Tribolium castaneum: one gene and its partners. The main gene of each other region encodes a partner of the protein of the gene in region 2 in a complex. Links are inferred from orthologs where the notes say so. Each region holds a gene or a part of one and is shown on either strand. Other genes may lie near its edges.

Region 1 (5,212 bases), on a different chromosome or scaffold from region 2:
TTTTCGTAGGCTACGATTCAAGAACACGTAATTGTAGTTAAACACGTACCTGAAATTCCAGTTTCTGAATATACTTAAAATATTCTTCCAAAAACTTAGGATATTCACTGAAACAGTAATTCATGAAATACTCCACATCAGCCATAGCTCTTTGCTTTTTTTTGGCTACGATTTCCGGGTTGTCTGCATCACCAGCCCATGGCAGAGTCCCAGTCAGCCAATAAATAATATTGTACCCCAAAGACTCCAAATCTGAGCGTCGCGAATGCACCCCCTTGTGAGCATCACGCGAACAAAATAAAACAGTCCCAGCGTGAGCTTTACGTTCGTCAACGCAAAACGGTTTATGTTCGCCATTTGATGTTAGAAATTTGGACGCCAGACCGTAATCAAGGAGATAAATCTGGTCCTGTGTTGTTGTTGGTTTTTCATACACTGAAGTAAAATGATTAGTTTAATGATTAACACACATTACGACCAATTACCACAATTAGTGAAGATTTGATTAAAATTTGGTATGTCGTCGAGATAAAAGGCGACTTTAGCGTTCGGCCTTAAGTTTCTAGTGATTCTGGTTGGTTTTTTGCGACATGCACGGAGACGGCTGGTGAAAGTGTAGCCGCTTGATACTCGTGTGCAGCCGCTTGACACTCGTTTACAGACGGTTGGTTTGGGCTTATTTTGGTTACTTAGAAGAATATTAGATGCCTTGATATCGGAGTGCATGTAGCCTTTACTATGGATGTATTCCAAAACATCAATTATTTGGAGGGATATTGTGAGCACTGTTTTAAGGTTTAGGATTTTCTTCTCTTGGAGGACTTTTTCCAAGTCTCTGTCAAATTTCGGGAGGATTAAGAAACGATACTTTTCACCCTTGTGGACGTGGGAACCTGACGCCACATAGTGGGGCATTCCGAGGGAACTTATATTCTTTGCTCGCTTCCACTCTTCAACTAGAAACGATTCCAATTATGCGATTTTTCCGCAAATTATTGACTTACTCATTTCGCGTTTAGCAATCCTTAGGTAACAATTGACTTCGACAAAAAGCGGCCCGTTTTTATGGCTTTCCACCTTAGCCACGTACTGACAATCAGTCTTGACCTCTTTGGTGAGGACATCAGAGGCCAGGTAGATCTCCCCAAAGCCCCCAACACCCACAGGTTTCCCCAATTTCCACTGCTTCCCTGTGATGTCTTTTAGGTACTCCCCATGTCTTAAATCAAAGGAGTTGCTGCAAGTCTTCTTTTTGGGGGGATCATTCTCCGAAGAACTGTTGTTAGCACGTCTCGGCATTATTTTAACGAAAGTGTGAAGTCTATAAACAATCTACAACATGGAGGCTTGAGATTTTCGCTCGGTTTCACTTGAGATACCTTACCCTGCCTAATTCATGTGATTACCCAAACAGAGGACCCTTCAAGAAGAAACGTTTTTTTTATGTAAATAACAACAAGATTTCAAAATCAAACGACATTTCCCCAATAACCTTATCATTTACATAACGACAACAGCAAGGTCAAGTGGCACGTCCCGGTTGTAAACAATAAGAAACAATACTTACTTTTCATACAACAAGTTAGAAAAGTGGTAAAAACTGTTATTTTGCCAAAAATCAAAAGGTGAAAGAAACGTCACTGACAATTTTCACGGCCATCTTCACGTTTCGCTCAATTGAAACGCCTCCTGATTTGTCGATAGCGCGCACGCGCACTGCAATTTCTCACTGCTTTTGCGCACAAGTCATTAAATAAAAAACGGGTTTTTGCGAAAAGAAAATTAAATTTGGGAAAAAGACTACCAACAGCCTTGTTGGCAACTGATGAATCACTCATTTTGTTGTCTATAACAACAATAATTGCAAAGAATCCAATTTGTTGTATCAAGTCATGGGAGGCTTATTTTTTATTCCTACACAAAACTGACCCCCGCCCTTAAAATATTTGAAAATCGTTGCTAGGCAACCGGAAAACAGTATTGTAAACAAAAATATTGTTTTTATGTTTGGCATTTTCTTCAGGTGGTTCTTTTATTTCAGTTTTGTTTGTTGTGAAAACAGTTATCATTTGATGGTATTCTGGCCTTATGGCAGAAGTGCACATAATTGGGCAAATAACTGAAGCCAAAGATTTTCCAAAGCAGAATTTGTTCTGTAAATGGTATCTCCAAGTAGGTGAGGTTCTCTTGACTTCTTTTCTTGATTTTTGTATCAAACAGACGCTTATTTTGCCTTTTCGATAAGTATTTCTATCGTTTTAAGACTAAAATCGACTGCTCTGTCAGTCAGTTCATGTTTATTTTTATTATTATAAAATTTTAAGGTAATAACTGGAAAGTTATTTCTGGGAAGAAGGAAGGTCAAACTCAAGTAACATCACCTCAGTTTGGTAAAGTTTGCAAGTGGTCTTATCCAATAGATATTCACCTAGCCACTGCTGGACTTCAAGGTTTATAATTTTTCAAAAAAGTCGTTTATTTTTTTAATGAGTCCGAATTTTAGGTTGGCCTAAGATTTATTTGCAAGTTTATCACTTAGATTGGCTAGGCCGGAGTCACATTTTCGGTTACGGTTTCATAACAGTTCCTACAACTCCCGGGACCCATATTTTGGACTGCTACACTTGGAGACCATTTGGTACAATAAAAGATCGTTTTGTGCAGTATTTTCTGGGAGGTGGGTATCAAATAAAAAATCCAGACTTGATCTTCTCTTCGGGGGAACGTTATAAACTCTCTACGGAGGCTATGGGAGTTGTTTCATTTGAACTGTGTGTTGTACTTAGGTAATAATAAGGCACAAAACAGTAATAATGACGAGTCCTTGTTCAGAAATTTCAGCAATTATGGAGTGGAATATGAGTAAACTACTTAACAATTTACCGACTGTTTTAATACTGTGCGTTTTGTTAAAAAGCACAAGTTTAGAAAATGTGACCACAACCCAGTCAAGTGAAACAAATGTTAAAAAGGGCACAACGTCACCAATTGTGTCCACAACCGCTGTTCCAACAACTACTTGCAAAGCCAACAGTTCTTGTTTTGCAAATTCAACTAATAATTCAGTAACTGTTCCTCCAACTCAACAAACAACGGCTTTAGTCACAACCCCGACTCCCGCGAGCTTTTTTCATTTTCATATAAAAACATCGGAACGATCAAGCAAGAATTTGTGTATTTGTGATTTAACTGTAAGTATCTATATGTTCCCTAATAAATTATATTTTTACGCATGATTTTAGATCGACTACTGTGATCTGAATTGCTGTTGCGACAAAGACTGTTCCTTAGAAAATAAACTTGTGTTTGATCATTGTGAAGAAGATTTCCGTCAATATGATACTAGATATTGCCAATACGTAAAACATATTTACGTTAATAAGACACCTCATGAGTTTCAAATTAACCAAAACGGACTATTTTGTATTGTGCGTAGTAATTTACCAGCAAGTTACATAGTCCAAAGAAAGCAAGTAAGATAAAGTCTTAAAAAAATCATAAAAATAATTTTACAACTTTAATTCCAGCCGTTGAAGTCATTACAAGATGCTCAATTCGAGAGACAAAATAAATTTAATTGGCCAAAGCCTACACATGAAGATAGTCAAATATTCAATTATTTCAACTATACTTATGGAAAACCTTTATTGATTTTAAGAAATAACACAATTGAAAACTTACGTTAGTCTCCAAATCTTAAATCAATAATCTAAATAACCATTTTTCAATCGTAGAATTTCTTAAGAGTTTTGTGGTAACTAGTTGCGTGGTCAAAGAAGATATAAAATATTTAATTGACGTCAAGAGCAGCTGTAGTCATACGAACATATCCGCAGATAATTATTATCTAAAAGCCGACACATTTTTCAGAAACATGACAATAATTGCAAATCCTGGTTTGCTAAATGTGTCTAAACACAAAAATTTTCTCAAGGTAGGTACTATACTTTTATGGAAACCAAACAGACTTATTCCTTTCCAGAATTGTACAAAAGATGTTTGTCTAAATGTTCGGCCAAAAATATGCAACGAAGACTTTGAAGACTGCGTCCAAATATCGCCAAACGACACGAGAATAAAATCGAGCTGCAAAGTTAACATTGCAAACAACGAACTGTTTTGTATTAATTTAGTACAAAACGTTAGATACAATTTTTATCATAATGGTAGCAACGGTTTGATAAAAGTCGAACTTTACTTGATTCTGAAAAGTGCCACTTTTTATTACCACCAGGAAATGGAGTTTTCCCAAACGATTGAAGTTAATTTTATTTGGTGGAACCATACTTTGAACTATTCATCGCACCTTAGTGGAAATCCGGGATATTTAGTTGGCAAGCCAATCTTAATCGCAAATATCGTTTCTATAAATGTTCCTATAAATAATACGAACTCGACTAGCAATGCAACAAGTTACAAACAACAATTACAGCTATACCGAAATCCTTCGGATTTTACCGAAAATTTCCTCGTTTTGCCGTTTGTAAATTCAGAGGGTGTGTGCGTTCTAAGTAAACACAAATATACTCCGATTGAGTTCGGTTATAATATGTATCTAAGATGCGAAATTAATGATTATATTTGGATCAAAAATCTCTCGGCGAAAAATGTATGCATTGCCGTACAGAACACAGTATTCAAATACTGGGCCTTAAAAGTAACAAATGGTACATTAAGTAATAGAGTGATTGCACTGTTCGGTAACGCATACATTTACAATATTGGCGATTGGCTGAGACCAATGTTTGAAAACGATCTTAATGACATTCTAAATCGAACTTGGGGCGAATTTGACCTTCAAAATAAATCTCTCAAATGTGGTAACATCACAACATTACTTATAACGGAGATTTTTCATGCTAGAGTTGATTTCGACGACATTATCAATCAGGAAAAGATTTTAGCGACTACCTTTCAATTTGATAATTTTCAAAACTTTACTTTTGCTTTAAACCAAACTTTACGGTTTAATATTAAAGTAGGTGCACAAGTTATGTTTCACGACATCACTACTAAGAAAATGAGGAAACTCGTTGATCCACCCAGTCTGAAAATTCGCTTGCCTCATGATTTCTTTTACCCTTTCGTGAAAATAGATAATCATGGTGTTAGGCAAGCACTATTTATGAATGTAATAGTACTAGGATTGATTTTTGTATTCACATTCAAATAAAATGTTTCAAGAGAAGTTTCATATTTTTCGCCTTATTTA
Region 2 (5,322 bases):
ACCCCCGATTTTACATGGTATGCCAGGCCACCGCGATCGCAACGGAGAAAGTAGCTGGCGCGCGCTTGGCCACGTATGTAGCGACGAAGGGCCCCCCGGGTGTCTCAGCGCACATGAATCGGGCAAAAGCACCAAATTGGGGACAAAAACGCGCTTTTCGGGGGCGAAACGTGGCCGATCGTCGATTGTTGACGCAGGGTGGTTGACACACACGCACTTGACTGGGGGGGAAATAACGCGAAACACAGCACAGGGTGGGTTATTTCGGGCCGAATTTACGCTTTAAACACTCGGAACACTATTCTATAATATAGATACCGCCATAACCCGACATCTTGGTTAAACTTCGAAGCTGAAACGAAAACAGGTCCGGATGAGTCGATCTTTTCCAAAGGGGAGGACGCATACTACAAGCGAGATGAAGCTAGACGCTGGCCGCTACTATCACCGACACACCGCCCTCCGTCTCACTACGGCCAAAAACCGACAATTTGGCACAAAACCGCACTAAACCAACGCCAGATTCACCAAAAACAGCCAAAAACAAGCACTCGTGGCGAATTTGGGCCAAAAGCGGGCCCGGAATCGGCCAAAATCGGCCGCAAAGCCAAGCACAACAAAGCACGGTAGGTCGCGACTCGCACCGGACGCACAATACGGTTTAGTGTATTCCGGTTTCATTTTTACCCGTACTGGCAGTGGGTGCGAGAGAGACGGGCGATTTTAGACTGTTATATTAAAGGGGATATGCCAACACGACGACGAAAAAATTACGGCTTAAATTGACTCGTTTTTCGCCCAAAATAACAACAATGTACACGTTGGTACGCCTGGCCCCAATCCCGACTTGGGGAAGTACCAACACAATTGCAAAAACTACCAAAAAGAAAAAAGAGTTGCCATGGCCGCCTTATCGATCCGGTCACAAATAGACGAATTGTTTAAAAATTGAAATTATTAGTCACGTGACGAGAGAAATTACAGGAATGGATTTTATCGATGGCACCCCCGAAGGAGCGACGTGTCAATGACTTGCAAAATAGGCGACTGTGTTACAATTTGAGACAGGTTCATGAACGGGGGACGCGTGGCAACAGGGCGGCCGTGCCACGGGGACCTCGCTAAGACTCGAGCGGCACTTGAGCCCCCCAGAGCATCCCAAAAGACAGAGGGGTGAACTGGAAGCCAGTTCCAGGCACACCATGGGGCCAAAGCCCAAACTTGGGGCTAAAACATGGATAAAGACAGCCCGAAGTCGCCCGATGTGACCCGAACCGGTCCGATCGTCCCTCGCCCAGATATATCGATTTTGGTTTATACCTAGTGCGGCGTTGCCACGTTTATTGATTCTCAAAATAAAACAACAATTATAAAAATTTCCGGGCCGCAATCATGTTTTTTCGGGCCCTTTTGAACGCTTGGAGCACTTGCTCCACGCTTTTGACCAAACTTGACGAGTTCAATTTTTCGAAAATTTCCAAATTTTCCTCGGAATTTTCTCTGTATTTGTCCAGAAACGCCTGGCTTTGATGGACGACGTGAACGGTCACGCTGATCAGACCGGTACCAACCGTGTTAGTCCCATATTTATTTAAAACAGACCCCTGGAAAAAAAATTTCCTTAGATAAGCTCGCCATTTTAAGCTGAGCTTAAACTGCAGTGTTGCTCAGCTAAGCCGCGCTGAACTTAACTTTGCGGTTGGTAGTACTGCACGCTTGCGCACTTATGACAGTTCTGATTTTAAAAAGTTAGGTTAAGATTCATTAATGTCACCATTTATCAATATTTCGGTACATTGTAGCAATAATATCGTTATAATAAAAATCTTATGTTTAAAAATGTATCAATAAAATGCGGCATTTATTTATTTCATGTTTAAAAATTTGTCCTACAATAAAAAAAATACTGATAAAATATATTGATGGAATAAGAATAAGTGAATTATTATCATTATACTTTTTTTGCTGTTTTTTTTTTCATCCAATGCAAGCAAGTAACTTTTTGCTTTCTAGTGTTAGTTTATACTATTGAACAAAATTGACCAATTTCAACAAAATTATAATGTTATCTACAATAATAATTTATTAAAAATATTAGCAATAAGCCGAGGTTTAGTTAAACCTAACCTAAATGAGCAACACTCGGTGTCGGCTTAAGCCCGCTTTAAGCCTTAGTAACCTTTCATTTAGTCAACTCACATCGTAATGTTTCGGTAATCCCACCCAAGTCAAGTCACCATAGCTTGAACAATCGCCAATAAAAAACCGGCGTAACTGACCGGAAATCCGGTCGGGGATTAACCGGAAACATTGTAGGTTAAACCGGTAATTCCCCGGCTTGGCAACGGGCAAGGCCTTATAAGTCAGCCCTTCAGTCCTATACCGACTCCAAGTGTCCTTCGAAATAACCTCAAAGTAGATATAAGGGCACTTGGGGATTCCCCTTTTGCCCAAATCCTCGATATTGTACTCTAACGTAACGTCGAAAACGTGCCCGAAATGGGCCAAACCCTCATCGCCAGTCACGTGACACGTTTGCGTCACGCCCTGCAGTTGCGATTGGTCAGTCGGGGACCAATCCGACGGCAAGTCGATGAAATACTGGACGTAGATTGGTCCATACTCGAAATATTGCGCCCACGCGAGTTCCATGAACAAATGAACGGCCAGTTTGTTTTTGGCGGGAAGTTTGAAACTCAAACATTTCAAAAGCTCGGTTTTGTGGCCATTTATCTGCAAATTCTTTAAATAAGATAAATTCGGGGATAATACAACACACACTTTTCGGATTAATTCTTTTTCGCGACGGTGGGCTTCCTCAGGCATTTGGGCCGAAACGTTCTCAAGGAAATAGTGATATTTGCGAATTGTGGCGCCTTCAAGTCGGATTAAATACGGCTGGGATTTGGTAAAGTCGGGGTTAATTGATAATATTTTGTACTTCCGGTCGTATTTAACGACACACAGGACTTGTTCCTGCTTGAGCCAAGTCGAATCGATGTATTCGCTACGAACAAATCGCTTTATAGTCACTCGGACGTTTCGGGGGAATTACCCGAGGTCCGCCATGATGTACATGACCTCAAACTCGTAATTATGACCAATGGGATTTCGCACTGCTGCCACAAGTGACTGGCCGTAGTCGTACCCCTGGCCATTTTCGTCGCAATTTTCGCGGAAATTGTCATTAACTTCCTGTTTGAGGGCAAAATCGTCGTCATTGGTGTACGAAAACAGGTCAAAATGCGCCTCAGTGTGTGATTCCCCGACGTCCGAATGGTACTTTTTCTCCAGATCTGTGATACAGTTTTTTTCGTCCTTGTAGTACTCCCTTTCTGACTTGCTGAAGCATTTCTGTTGCCAGGCGAAGTCTTTCTGCTCCCAACCGTCCGAATCCTCGCCAGTTAAATCCCCCACTTGGCGCAACTTCACTCTTGAACCTTGAACTTTAATTGTGTACGTAGTGTCTTTACTTACCTTATTTTCAAGTTGGTGATGTCATCCGAGCACCTGTAAATTGCCGTGTATTTGACCAAAGTCTCCTCCTGACTCATTTTAAGTGTTTTACACGTGAATCACAACAATGACGTTAGCCGCGCGCCATTTTTCAAACCTGCCAGGCGCGGAATTCCCCCAGTTGGGCCCAAAGTTACCAAAACATAACCGTGTAATGATAATTAACAAAACAAAAGTGATAATAATAATAAGTGATAACATGTAGTAACACGAGTGTTAGTAACGTAAACAGTGATTGTGTGTGTGCGCCAATTGAGGTTATGTGGCCATGGCCAACTCGGAGACGCCGCTCCAAGCCAGCCGCAAAAACGCCTACTACCGCAGCATTTTCGACAAAGTGAGCCCCCCAGTTTAGTAGCAATCACCCAAACTGCGCTTTCAGTACGACCGGGACCATGACGGTTTTATCAACATCGGGGAGCTGAATGACCTGATCGAGAGCCGGGAATATGACCACGACATCCCCGAGCACGTCGTGCGGAAAATCCACCAAATGGCCGATCAGAACCACGACGACCGAATCGATTTCACCGAATTCGTGGACATGATAAACCACCCGGACCTCCAGTACGTTTTCGGGCACTATGTCAACAGGTACATCCAGATGGTGGTGCCCCGCCGACGGGGCGCCAGCGAGGTGGACGGGGCCTACGACGACCAGTACTCCTGCTACCCCCCGGCCGTGGGCATGATCATTATTTCGCTAATCGAGGTCATTTTTTTCTGTGTGGATGAGGCAATCGAGGCGGATTCGACCAAATCGGCCTCGGGCCCCATCAGTTCCGTCTTCATCTACGACCCCTACAAGAGACAGGAGGCTTGGCGGTTCATCACTTACATGTTTGTGCACGTTGGGTAATTAATCAACAATTGACCGACGTTAGCCACCCAATTAATTGCAGAGCCTTCCATTTGTTTGTCAATCTTTTGGTGCAAATTCTACTGGGGACTCCGCTAGAAATGGTGCACCGGTGGTGGCGAGTGCTCCTCATTTATTTCGCGGGGGTCCTCGCCGGGTCGCTTGCTACCTCAATCGCCGACCCCACCGTGAGACTTGCGGGGGCCAGCGGTGGGGTCTACTCCCTCATCACGGCACATATAGCCACCATTATAATGAATTGGAGGGAAATGTCGTTCCCCATCGTCCAGTTATTTATTTTTTTGATCATTATGGCCTCCGACATTGGGACCGCCATTTACAATCGGTATTTCCTCGAAATGGACGAACATATCGGGTACATGGCCCACTTTGCGGGGGCTATTGCCGGGCTCTTGGTGGGGCTCAACGTCCTAAGAAACCTAGAAGTGACAACGGTCGAACGGGTCATTTGGTGGCTCTCTATCGTCACGTATTGTCTCCTGATGGCAATCGCAATCATTTGGAATTTTGCCTGGCCTGAGTATTTTTTGAAAAGTCGGGAACGGATTTGAGGTTAGGAAATGACACAAAAGTGTAACAATTATTATTTTTAAGCACAGATTAGGTACAAAGTGACCAGTTTTTGCAGTATTGTATGACTAGAGGTTGATTTTAGTATTATTTTTGATTTTGTAAAAGTGGGGTTATGTCGGCGCATAATCAGAAAGTGTTTTATTTGAGCATTGCGCGAGCCCCCAACTCATCTGGACGGACTCGCAACCGTGTTTCAAGCCCCTAGTATTAAGGTCAGCCCCCTCAAACATTTTTTTGTAAGCAATTTAATATGCAAAGTAAAAGTGAGGTTATGTTTGACAATCCACGAAAAGGCCTAGTTATAGTATTTGCGGTGCCTTCCTAGCACAAAACTCTAGTATTTTTTATATTCT
Region 3 (3,873 bases), on a different chromosome or scaffold from region 2:
CCAGTCGTATAATTTCCAAATGCAAAAATGTGGTAATTATTTATTTATCTGTGCACGACAGTAAAATCTACGTCACAAGACAACAACCGTTAGACCGTGTTGAACAAAATAAAATATCAAAATCAACGAAAATGTCAGTTTCAAACGGCGGCTTACCTTCCGAAGACTCCGCGACGATCTTCTCGACCCTTCCAGGCCAGTTCCCAAATTTGCTCGAAGACGGGGATCAGAAAATCAAAACACGGGAGTTTTTGGATGCCTCTGCCGGAGTTGTCATTTTAGTAGGTGCGAACATAACCTAAAAAATTATTTTTTTGGCCCTGATTTCGCACTTTTTTAGAACGGTTCGGTAAAGTGTTTACCCCGGTTATCTATGACATGAATGGGAACATTAAGGTAAGTCTGCGTGTGCTTTTACCAAGTAATAAGAGCTCACATAACCGCACTTTCTGTTTCAGAAAATCACAGTCAAGTATGAGGAAGACCGGGAAAATTACGAGTTTCTAGAGGACATGATACTTAAACAAAAAAATGTGGGCCAACTGCTTGTTGTGGACGCTTTGCAGTGGCTGCGGCGGTAAAAAGCCCCTTTTTGGGAGACTTATGCATAAATCGTTTCAGAGCCCTTCATTTCATTTCGCGCTTCTTCCAGTCTGTGATCGATGACTCCGACAATAATAATAACACGCAGGATTTGTCCATATTTGTGAAAAACGCGTACAAGGAGACTCTGGAGCGGTACCACGGCTGGTTGGGGTCTCAGTTGTTTAATGTACTTTCGTCATTTTTTCAAAAATTGTGGCTTATCCCAACAAGTTGTAGATTTTGTCACGGTTTACCCCAAACCGGCAACAGCTTTTCTACCAACTCGCGCTCGAGAAGCACCACAAGGAGGACCACGTTTTGCGTGATATGAGACAGTTCACGCTCAGGATGTCCTCATGTGTTCAGAAGCTGGTGGATTTCTACCAAGAGCATGATCTCGAGACGAATGATAGGGTCTAGTTGTTGTACTTAGAAATTTTATATTTGTTGATCTTCCAGTTGTAAATAAAACGTTTGGTATAGATTCATTTTTTATTCACTCGGTAGCGTTCTTGTACATCTGCAAGCGTCACATCTGATCTTAATTTCATAATGCGAAAGTAAATTGCTTGTTGCGCTGCCGTAAATTTCAAAGCACAATAGCTTGACACCAACTGAATGCATAACATCACGAACATGATACTTTGCACTATTATTTCTATAACATGCAATTTGAAGTTAGGATTGAATAACAGAAGACCTTGTAGAGGAAACTGGAGCAGTAAGGACAACATCCAAAAGCCCGCCAGTTCAGGAATCTACAATCTTATTTATTTAAATCGTCCGCAAAGTGGCCGTGATATTCAACAAACTGTGCACATGTGTAATATTGGTTGCATCTGCCGACTCAATTATTATCATTAACTTACTTTATCCTCAAGATTTCCCTTGTACCCTAAATAGAGTCTTAACATTTCCAAAAGGAAAACTGTCGAAATGACCGTTATGATAATAAACTTGTACAGTTCGCTAAAGCAGAGATACTGGAATTGGTATTTCGAGTCATTTAGTAGTTTTTCGTAGTTAGTCTTACTGTATTCCTTAAATAAAGCACAAGAATGGCCATCCAAAATGGCGCGAAAATCACGTTGAAATAGAGCGACATCTGCAGCGGCAAATTTGACATAACTTCGTTACCTAAAAAGCCTTAAGGAATCGTAATTAACCAGGCATGTTTTTACCATAAACAACATTATCGATTTTACGCGAAAGGCCTGGAAACACTTTATCAGACACTGACGTCACAGTTTCCTTCCAATCCATAATGAATATTTTGAGCAAACAACAAGGTCAAGATTATTTTTAATGTTCTGATTGTTAACAGATTGTTGGACATTTATGTCCTGAAATTGATAATCTGGTTTTGTTTGTATTAACTTGGGGTTGAGTTGCTTGGAAACCGTAATCAAATCCCCCACATTTGCTGGTATTGACCACTGCAGGTGTTTATTTTTGCATTTTTTTTAACTTTATTCTTTCTGTCCGATTGATGTTATTCTCATAAGTTTTAAGCTAACAAAAAAATGATCACAGATATGTATCGGAGGAAAATCTTCAAACAATAACAAGTGGTTATCCGAAAAGTTATCAGATAAAATGTTATTACGTAAGCAACGAAGGTCGTTCATTATTGTTGAGTACACATACCTAAAACAATGTGATACAAGCTACCAGAAATAATAAATATGGAAATACGAGACTTAAAACAGTGAGTATTTTTAATTTTAGCACCACTTACCTTTCGTATTTATTACCTTTAATCTTTTTTGAATTGTTTCATTTATTAGCTACTAGTTTACAATTTAAACAAAGTTTTATATTATCACAAATAAAAAATAGCATGGTCATTGTTGAGTCACTGGACTGAAAACTTATTGCTAAAATAATTTTAGAGCTGAAGAACTGCTTGTGAAATCAACACACGAAAACATTTTTGACTACATTGATGAAGAAATAGTTTCGTGGGATTTACCCAACCATGGGGATTATCCAGATCTGGTACCAAAAATAACTGACTTGGTTTACAAATTATACACAGAAATATTCCCGGAACAAAACAATCCCAGGAACTTTGCGGCCTTCCAGTGGTAATAATTTATAGGCAATTTGTTGTACTTGTTCTTTCATTGGTGATTTCAAGGATTATTTTTGATAAAATCCACGATTTGGTCGTGCCATGCATTAAAGCGAATTTGTTCCGAGAAGATGAAAATTTCTTCGAACGGTGCTCATTTTTGTGCAAAATTAACGTCTCGGCAAGGGAATTTGGCGCTGATGATAATTATAGTATCCCGTTATGTGCTGCCGTAATTGAAAATATTTTTTTAACTGATGCGTGTAATGTTTTTTTTAGGTTGTGGAATTGTCGGTTATAGACAAATATAAAAGTCCCAACGAGAAAATGAACTGTTTGTGCAGTACGTACGATTTAGTATTTGCGGAAATAAAGACAGCGATGGTTTCAGTAATTTCAGAAAGGTCAGGTAAGTTGCATCTTGATTTATTGTATGTACTAGGTTTTTTTAATTGTTAATAATTACAGATAAGGAAATTGAAATTCCCATTATTGACAACAAGGACATAATGCCTGTGCTTATGGTGGTAATTCTTAGGTCGAAATTACGCTACATGTTGAGCAATTTATTTTATATTAAAACTTTTTATTTAAAGATAGAAGAAAATCGAGAAATTTTGTAAGTGTTAGGCGTCTTTTTTATGAACTAAATTGACTGATATTTTAGTGATATATTTAAATCGTTTGAAACTGCTGTTGATAGATTAATGCAGTTGGATGTTGATATTATGAAGCCTATGAAAGGACTTTTTCAAAACAGTTTAGATTTGGAGGAATACATGAAAATTACGTCCAGCCCTGGAGAAGAAAAAATAGAAAAGGCAACTTTAATCGATGAAGCAAATCAACGAGTTTTGAATTTAATAACACGGTCTACAGGCGAAGATCAACTTTTTTAATGAAATAAAACGAACGATATTGTTTAATTGTGATGTTAGAAAAATAAACTAATTGATACATAAGAATATCTAGTTTTATATCCTCCTTTTTTATTAGATTTTTAGCATTAATTTCCAGCCGAAACTTTGAAAATGATTTTGAATTTTCAAATTTGTGCGGTGACGCTTTGGTGGCGACGGTTGAAACTAAATTCTCCCACCGCGAAACCGCAGATTTCTGCATGACCGACCAAATCTTTTCGGTTTTGCGCAGGCCCCTGAAAGTGTATACAAATTATGTGTTCACTGGGAGGGGTGGGGCAAAGGGGGGAAACG

Evidence for each region. Proteins that work in one complex are often made in the same cells at the same time.
Region 1: Mks1 (region 2) and B9 domain-containing protein 2 share a complex: the UniProt entries of both Homo sapiens proteins name them as parts of the tectonic-like complex. The link is inferred for Tribolium castaneum from reciprocal best matches to the Homo sapiens genes MKS1 and B9D2.
Region 3: Mks1 (region 2) and transmembrane protein 17 share a complex: the UniProt entries of both Homo sapiens proteins name them as parts of the tectonic-like complex. The link is inferred for Tribolium castaneum from reciprocal best matches to the Homo sapiens genes MKS1 and TMEM17.

What each region holds. Positions count from the first base shown.
Region 1 is NC_087394.1:33,824,516-33,829,727, forward strand, and holds B9 domain-containing protein 2, read left to right. Parts: upstream 1-1,849; 5' UTR 1,850-2,088; coding exon 2,089-2,176; intron 2,177-2,324; coding exon 2,325-2,450; intron 2,451-2,503; coding exon 2,504-2,786; intron 2,787-2,832; coding exon 2,833-2,866; 3' UTR 2,867-3,191; intron 3,192-3,242; 3' UTR 3,243-3,473; intron 3,474-3,527; 3' UTR 3,528-3,681; intron 3,682-3,734; 3' UTR 3,735-3,934; intron 3,935-3,982; 3' UTR 3,983-5,188; downstream 5,189-5,212. Other genes in the region: serine/threonine-protein kinase VRK1, read right to left, coding at 50-435, 486-956, 1,005-1,299. UniProt on the Homo sapiens protein: Component of the tectonic-like complex, a complex localized at the transition zone of primary cilia and acting as a barrier that prevents diffusion of transmembrane proteins between the cilia and plasma membranes.
Region 2 is NC_087401.1:10,812,754-10,818,075, reverse strand, and holds Mks1 (tectonic-like complex member MKS1), read right to left. Parts: upstream 3,618-5,322; 5' UTR 3,555-3,617; coding exon 3,478-3,554; intron 3,434-3,477; coding exon 3,056-3,433; intron 3,008-3,055; coding exon 2,782-3,007; intron 2,734-2,781; coding exon 2,200-2,733; intron 1,605-2,199; coding exon 1,368-1,604; 3' UTR 1,325-1,367; downstream 1-1,324. Other genes in the region: rhomboid-related protein 2, read left to right, coding at 3,785-3,853, 3,899-4,371, 4,419-4,947. UniProt on the Homo sapiens protein: Component of the tectonic-like complex, a complex localized at the transition zone of primary cilia and acting as a barrier that prevents diffusion of transmembrane proteins between the cilia and plasma membranes.
Region 3 is NC_087395.1:14,181,281-14,185,153, reverse strand, and holds transmembrane protein 17, read right to left. Parts: upstream 1,901-3,873; 5' UTR 1,849-1,900; coding exon 1,767-1,848; intron 1,723-1,766; coding exon 1,619-1,722; intron 1,569-1,618; coding exon 1,455-1,568; intron 1,344-1,454; coding exon 1,071-1,343; 3' UTR 1,064-1,070; downstream 1-1,063. Other genes in the region: glycolipid transfer protein, read left to right, coding at 132-285, 341-396, 459-577, 622-772, 823-1,005; ankyrin repeat domain-containing protein 27, read left to right, coding at 2,271-2,293, 2,478-2,672, 2,726-2,891, 2,939-3,068, 3,128-3,278, 3,327-3,558. UniProt on the Homo sapiens protein: Transmembrane component of the tectonic-like complex, a complex localized at the transition zone of primary cilia and acting as a barrier that prevents diffusion of transmembrane proteins between the cilia and plasma membranes.